2 linked regions of the Arabidopsis thaliana genome follow. The protein of the gene in region 1 interacts with the protein of each later gene in a pairwise test. Each region holds a gene or a part of one and is shown on either strand. Other genes may lie near its edges.

Region 1 (3,755 bases):
TTTGTAAATAGAATGTTTACATATGGACATTTTAAGAAGAGTTGTTCCTTACCACTTTGATTCTATCATTTTCTTGTTTATCTAGTTAGCTTGAACCCTTTGTATTATTGAGTAACGAAAATCTTTGGAGGAAAAAAACAAGTGAGGTAGGATTATAATTTTCCTCATATAAGTGTGTTGTTTGTGATACATCATTATTCTTTCTTATTTTTGGTTAAACCCAAAAACTGGACCGCACCTAAGGAATTGAGATATTCAAAAAAACAATGATCTGACCCGTGCCAAATATCCACACCACACCTTTCTCCATTCAGGCCCTACTAGAAAGCCGTGAGACGGTTGACAACTTGAAAACAAAAGACTTATAATGAGACTATGAGAAACAAAAAAGAAAGTGGAGTTGATGAAATAATCTGATCTTATGAAAGTGAAGTTGATTACAAAAGGAGCAGCGTGGTAGTTGAATAGTTTCAGATGTTGATAAAGACGTGACATACATAGTTGTCTCAGTAATCTAATCAAGGACTCCTCATGTTTCTAACTTCTTCTTCTATAAAGTTGCATGAGATTTATATCTGGAGAACATATATTGCTCTAATTATGTGGTCTTATTATCATCAATATATGCCTTTTTCTACATATGAATATATGATCGACATGTATAGATATTTTTTGTTGTTCAAAAAAAAAAAATGTATAGATATTTTTTTCATTTTCCAAAAGGATTGAATTTCGAAATGGTGTAGCCACCTTAGAGGTATACAACAATAAATAATTTTCCCGACTTGTAACAAATGTTTGGAACAAAAGTGTCAATTAGAATCAAAGTAACCATCAGATGCCTTTTATAAATTTCTTTATCTATGATTATTTTTTAACCAAATTCAGACACTTCTATATTACTAAAAGCCAAACTTGATATCTATTTCAACAAAAAAATTTTTTTTTAGTCTGCTGTGACTCAGTATATCTAATTGTTTTCACATCATTCATAAACTTTTACTAGTCCATTGTAAAATACAGTATATTAGAAATTGTTTTCCTATCTATATATGCTTAGGTTTAAGAAAACAACTTTTGGCCATGAATATTTGAGTTTTTAAGTGGTTTTGGATTATAGATTTTGCCAAAAGGAAAAAATATTGATTTAAAATTACAAAAAGAAATCTGCAAACAATTATCAAAAACTCATTAAAGTGGGATTTATTTTTCATTTTGTTTACAAAAATGCGAACTCTAATCTTGATTGGATAATTAAATGGGTTTTTGGAAAACCAATAACTATGCTATAAAGTATAAACTACTACCATTCAAGCCTTCTATTTTTCTATGCCAAAAAATACTACGCAAAAAAAATTGAGCGTGTTTGATCCAACAATAAAACAAATTACTCAATCTTGTTTGATGTCAAAATCCAAATCCAAAATATGTTTCGGACACCTGACCGGTCTACTCGATTGACACCCCTGAAATTTCGAAATAGACAATACACAAAAGGACATAGACAACATAACTTCATCTCACTTAGATATTCACATTTCCCATTTTTCAAAATATTGGCTCTTCATTTTCTGTGTACTTCCAACAAATTGTCTTCTAGAGAAACCAAAACTATCTAAGATTTCTCCACCTTCTCCATCATCCACCGTTGATTCACTCATCTCATGTCTCCAATGACTCATCTACGGTCAAGATTCAAGGAGCATGAAACATCCCATGAACCAAATTACACAAAAACATTTACCTTGATAAAAAAACATCATTTTATTATTTTGGCAGAAGAAAAAGTCTTAATTCGAACTTTGAGCGTGCTTATAGTTTAATCAATTAAAGTTATAAAGAAAAGTAACTTTATAAATTCAGGAGTAATCAGTAGATTTATACCATTCTTGTCCATCGCTTTAAGCCACACTTGATCGGACGGTAAGCAATCAATCCGGTTTACACTTTCTGATTATAAAGATTCCAACTTTTGGTTATATCGGACGGTTAATAATCAATACGGTTTGAGTTTAAATCATAGCCGTTGAGATGTTTGACTAAAGTGTTTACAAAGTAGTCAACACTCTCTTTCTGCTACAAAGGACCAGTCTTGAAACTCAAAGTCCTTACCTTTCCCTTCTCTAACCTCTCTTTCTCTTTCTCTGTCTCTTTGTGAGAAATGGGCATGGAAGCTTTGAGATTTCTTCATGTTATCTTCTTCTTTGTGCTAATTCTTCACTGTCATTGTGGAACATCTCTCTCTGGTTCTTCTGATGTGAAGCTTCTTTTAGGAAAAATCAAGTCTTCACTACAAGGAAACAGTGAGAGCTTACTGTTGTCTTCTTGGAACTCCTCTGTTCCTGTTTGTCAATGGAGAGGTGTAAAATGGGTATTTTCAAATGGGTCTCCTCTTCAATGTAGTGACCTCTCTTCACCACAATGGACTAATACCTCTCTGTTCAACGACTCTTCTCTTCACCTTCTCTCTCTTCAGCTTCCTTCTGCTAATCTCACTGGTTCACTCCCTAGAGAGATTGGTGAGTTCTCTATGCTTCAAAGTGTGTTCCTCAACATCAATTCATTAAGTGGGTCAATCCCTCTTGAGCTTGGTTACACTTCTTCTCTCTCTGATGTTGATTTGAGTGGTAATGCCTTAGCTGGGGTTTTGCCTCCATCGATTTGGAACCTCTGTGATAAGCTTGTCTCTTTCAAGATTCATGGTAATAACTTGTCTGGGGTTTTGCCTGAGCCTGCTTTGCCAAATTCGACTTGTGGTAATCTCCAAGTTCTTGATTTGGGTGGTAATAAGTTCTCAGGTGAGTTTCCTGAGTTTATAACTAGGTTTAAAGGTGTGAAGTCACTTGATCTTTCAAGTAATGTCTTTGAAGGTCTTGTTCCTGAGGGTTTAGGTGTATTAGAGCTAGAAAGTCTCAATCTTTCTCATAATAACTTCAGTGGGATGTTGCCAGATTTTGGTGAGTCAAAGTTTGGAGCAGAATCTTTCGAAGGGAACAGTCCTAGCCTTTGTGGTTTGCCTTTGAAGCCTTGTCTAGGCTCCTCTAGGTTAAGTCCAGGTGCTGTTGCTGGTCTGGTGATTGGTTTAATGTCTGGAGCTGTTGTTGTGGCCTCGTTGTTAATAGGGTATTTGCAGAACAAGAAAAGAAAGAGTAGTATAGAGAGTGAAGATGATTTGGAAGAAGGTGATGAAGAAGATGAAATCGGTGAGAAAGAAGGCGGTGAAGGAAAGTTAGTTGTGTTTCAAGGTGGTGAGAATCTGACGTTGGATGATGTTTTGAATGCTACTGGGCAAGTTATGGAGAAGACTAGCTATGGTACTGTCTATAAAGCTAAGCTTAGTGATGGAGGGAATATTGCATTGAGGCTATTGAGAGAAGGTACTTGCAAGGATAGAAGTTCTTGTCTGCCTGTTATAAGGCAGTTAGGACGCATTCGGCATGAGAATTTGGTTCCCTTGAGAGCTTTCTATCAAGGGAAGAGAGGAGAAAAGCTTCTCATCTATGACTATCTTCCCAACATAAGCTTACATGATTTGTTGCATGGTATTTTCTTTCATCATCAATCTTTTTTGCCATGGATCTTTCTTGGTTGATTTTTGTTATTCATGTGTTGTTTGAATGATGTGCAGAAAGTAAACCTCGAAAGCCAGCTTTGAATTGGGCTAGGAGACACAAGATTGCACTTGGAATAGCGAGGGGACTTGCTTATCTTCATACTGGACAAGAAGTTCCTATCATCCATGGAAATATTAGATC
Region 2 (3,755 bases), 2.9 Mb from region 1:
AGATCTCAGTGATCCTCTGTCAAAAGAGAAGATTATCATTAGCAAATTTGAAGCTTTGTATCTGTAATAGAACCGGACTAAAAGCAGATTAATACCTCGAGAAGGTATCGAGCAACCCAGACTTGATCACCAGAACTAATACCCTCAACAGGGCCGACTTGGAACTCCCACTGGCCTGGCATGACTTCTCCATTGATACCAGAAATACCAATACCGGCGTAAAGACAGGCCTTGTAGTGAGCATCCACAATGTCACGACCAATGGCTTTGTCAGCTCCCACACCACAGTAGTAAGGTCCCTGTTTCAACCACGAAATACATTTTATCAGATGTCAAAAATGTGTTGTTAAAAACATTAGGATCAAATGGTAACTGGATTTTTACCTGAGGGCCAGGGTAGCCACCAACAGGCCAACCAATTGGCCAGTTCACATCCTTTTGCATCAAAGTGTATTCTTGCTCAATCCCATACCTTTTGAATCACACAAAGAGACAATCAGAATCTGATTTAGATATACAGAGAGACCAACAGAAGAAGAAGAGTGTACCAAGGCTCCTCCTTGGCAACGTCGGGGTGGCTGAAGATCTTAGCAGCGTTGTGCCTCTTGTTGGTTGGAATAGGATCACCAGCTGGTGTGTAAGCATCACACATCACCTGCATATCTCACAATAATCAATAATCTGATTTATATCCAAGTTGAATCTGTCACACTAATCATATCAAATAAACCCACCAGGATGTTGTTGCCTTTCCTGAAGGGATCCTTGAATATTGCCTGAGGGCTTTTATTTAATTAACAAACAAAGCAAGACCAAGATTAAGATATGAATTACTTCATATAGAGACAACAAATAGATAAATAGAGATGAGGGATGAGCATAGTACTATAGAATGACTTCACTGTCTTCTCCAGCAGCCTGACCGGTGCTGGATCCGTCGTAGTTCCACTTGGGAAGCTTTGATGGATCAGTCACTGGTCCTGGTAGTGTCTGTATCATTCAAAAACAAATCAGAAAACAGAGGATGAAAAATAAACACATGAGGGAGATTTATAAATCAAATACCCTGGCTTTGCTTCTGATATCCATTCCAGATCCACCGATCCTGTTTATTCAACAATCATACAAAAAAACTCAAAAAAACTACAAGAAGACAAAAAAAAGAGACAAGCTTTATGTTTTTAACACACGTATTAATTCAAAGCAGGACAACGAAACACTCCATGAAATGAATCATGTTCATACCCAAACTCGCAAAAAGATCAATATAACAAAAGAGATAAACTTTTGGATCGCAGCAATATGAAGAAAGAACGATACATGACACTTGTGGTTAAAGTGAAACAGAGAGAAGCGAGATCGAACCATATGTATTCGGCGATGATTTTCCCGGTGGCATCGGTGAGGTTGAGGTTAACGAGATCTGAGAGCAGAGACATGGCGGCGTCGGAGAGAAAATAATCAGTGTGTTTAGGGAAAGAGAAGACGATCAATACAACTTCTCTCCTGAGAGTGTGTGTTTATAGAGAAAGAGCTTGTATTTTTTTTTTCCTCTCCTTAAATAATTACGGTGAATACATGATTCCAGTAAATTAGTAATTTCTTTTATTGTTGTGTGCTGATATTATCTCCTAGAATTGTTAATAAGTAATTAATACTCCATATAATACTATCGTCTAATATTCTCTTTTCCGTTAGGATTCTCCTGAGATTACAGGTTATTATGGCAACAATATTTAATCTATTTCTCACGGAAAATCTCTAAAAAGATTATATATACAGCCGAAAAATAAGAGTTTATATACAAAACGGATATGCGTTACGTAATAAATGTTTCCACTTCACAGCATCATTGAAATAACTCAACAACTGCTACCAATTTCCTTGATATTTATATTTCAATTTCTTCGTACAGTTTGTTTGTTTATGTATACTTTAGAAGATATATTAATGAGTAAATTAGTAAAAATAGAATTGTTGATGATCACGTAAACGTAGGTAGGTAAGGTAGGAGGAAACTAAATGTTTTTCTTTTTTGTGTTAAAATTTTTAAGTAGCTTCTAATATAGGTATCATTGCGATGCAGAAAGTCGTGGCCACTTTTGGCTTTTTGATATTTCTTCCATAGTCAATTTCTCATTAAGCCCGTTTTGTTGCCTTTTTCCCCTCTTCGGATTCAAATGATGCGTATAAAAATAAGCATGACCATATTTTCCTAGTAAATGTATCCAGAGTTGTTTGATTAGCTTCCTACTAATCTTGGTTCTATCAGCTCATACTTGATTTTGTTCAATATCTAATTTTAATGATATAAGACCAAGTTTCTTTAGCCAAATCACACCTTAATAAAAGGTTACTACCGCAACATCTTGCTTCATGGAGAAGGTCTATGGTATTATTATTGGCCAAAATTTAAGCCAACTTGAAGTAACAAAGAAATGGTTGCTATGGATGGATACAAGATGAATAATACACAACGAGAAGAAAATTAAGAAACATAAAATTTAGTTATTTCTTTTCAAGTGAGATTTAAGAAGTTGATTTTAAACATTTGAAAGAAAGAGCCTTCGTAATTTGCATGTGAGTTGTGAATGAAGTTGCTGAACCTTTATTGAAATATTTGGGTGGTCATAACTTCATCAGGCTACTAACTTAGTTAGAAACCATACTCTCAGTCTCCTTCACGAACCCATCCCCGGTCCAATCTTTATCAGATTTCAAGCCTCTCTTCTCAGCTTTTCTCTGCTCAACTGCTTCTTTCTGTCTCTTAACTAAATCTGTGTGTGTTGTAAAGTACTGCAGCGAATGCCTAAGCCAACAAACAACACGAAGAACTTGCTCAGCAAGCAACCAAGCAAGCGAAAAGAATGATATAAAAGTCTAAAAGGAAAGTTGTTCATACCCTCTGAACTCTTCTATTGTAGAGAAGTTGTGTTGTTTCATGAAATCTTTCAGCTCAGCGCAAAGGGTTTTCACATGACCATAGCCGTGCATCATCACACCGGTGCATACCTTCCAACAAAAAGCAGTAAAACTAAGTTTCTCTCAAGGCATAAAGTCTAAAACAAAAGAGTGAGGATAGTGTTGAGTTTAGTTACCTGTACAGTATTTGATCCAAGGAGAATGAATTCAGCGGCATCATAGCCAGTTTCAACTCCTCCAATACCCGAAAGCGAGCGATCCTCACTAAACTCAGATTTCATCATTTTGGCAATGTTCATAACTTTTGCCAGTGCAATTGGGCGAACGGCCTTATAAGAGTATCCCCCTGGAGTGGAGTAACTGCAAAACACTATCAACGTTAGCTATTCTTGTAATGCCATTACAAGATTTGCCAAAACGTTTGACATTATAAAAGTGCTATCTAGCTAACCCTTCAACGCATGGCTCAGGACGCAACGTCTTCATATCAATTCCCATTACACTCATGATTGTATTGATCGCTGCAATTCCTTCACATCCGGATTTTAGTGACACCCTAGCAGGCTATTCAAAAGAAAAAGCAAAACGGACATGGTCAAAGCAGAGCAAAACAGAGTAACAATAACTCAGCTTTAAGTAGGGAGCTTTTCAATAAACTTGCATCAAAGTTTTTTTTTCATTTTCTACAAGGATAGGCTTTATACAAAATGGTTGAAAAACCAGGAAGCAAAAAGGCTGAGAGAATTAGATGTCACACCTCAGTTATGTCAGTAATATTAGGAGTCATCTTAGCCCATACAGGAACTGTAGCTTTAGCATTAATCCATCCGCAA

The links. Proteins that work in one complex are often made in the same cells at the same time.
Region 2: the proteins of TMKL1 (region 1) and GLN1.3 interact in a protein complementation assay, tested with the Arabidopsis thaliana proteins (one large-scale study listed by BioGRID).

The regions. Positions count from the first base shown.
Region 1 is NC_003074.8:9,001,480-9,005,234, forward strand, and holds the start of TMKL1 (transmembrane kinase-like 1), read left to right. Parts: upstream 1-2,089; 5' UTR 2,090-2,161; coding exon 2,162-3,542; intron 3,543-3,628; coding exon 3,629-3,755. UniProt on the Arabidopsis thaliana protein: Does not seem to have conserved a kinase activity.
Region 2 is NC_003074.8:6,095,187-6,098,941, reverse strand, and holds the start of GLN1.3 (glutamine synthetase 1.3), read right to left. Parts: upstream 1,742-3,755; 5' UTR 1,440-1,741; coding exon 1,366-1,439; intron 1,106-1,365; coding exon 1,066-1,105; intron 991-1,065; coding exon 887-990; intron 784-886; coding exon 735-783; intron 656-734; coding exon 549-655; intron 473-548; coding exon 385-472; intron 300-384; coding exon 96-299; intron 17-95; coding exon 1-16. Other genes in the region: PYD1 (pyrimidine 1), read right to left, coding at 2,653-2,809, 2,903-3,012, 3,099-3,282, 3,374-3,486, 3,680-3,755.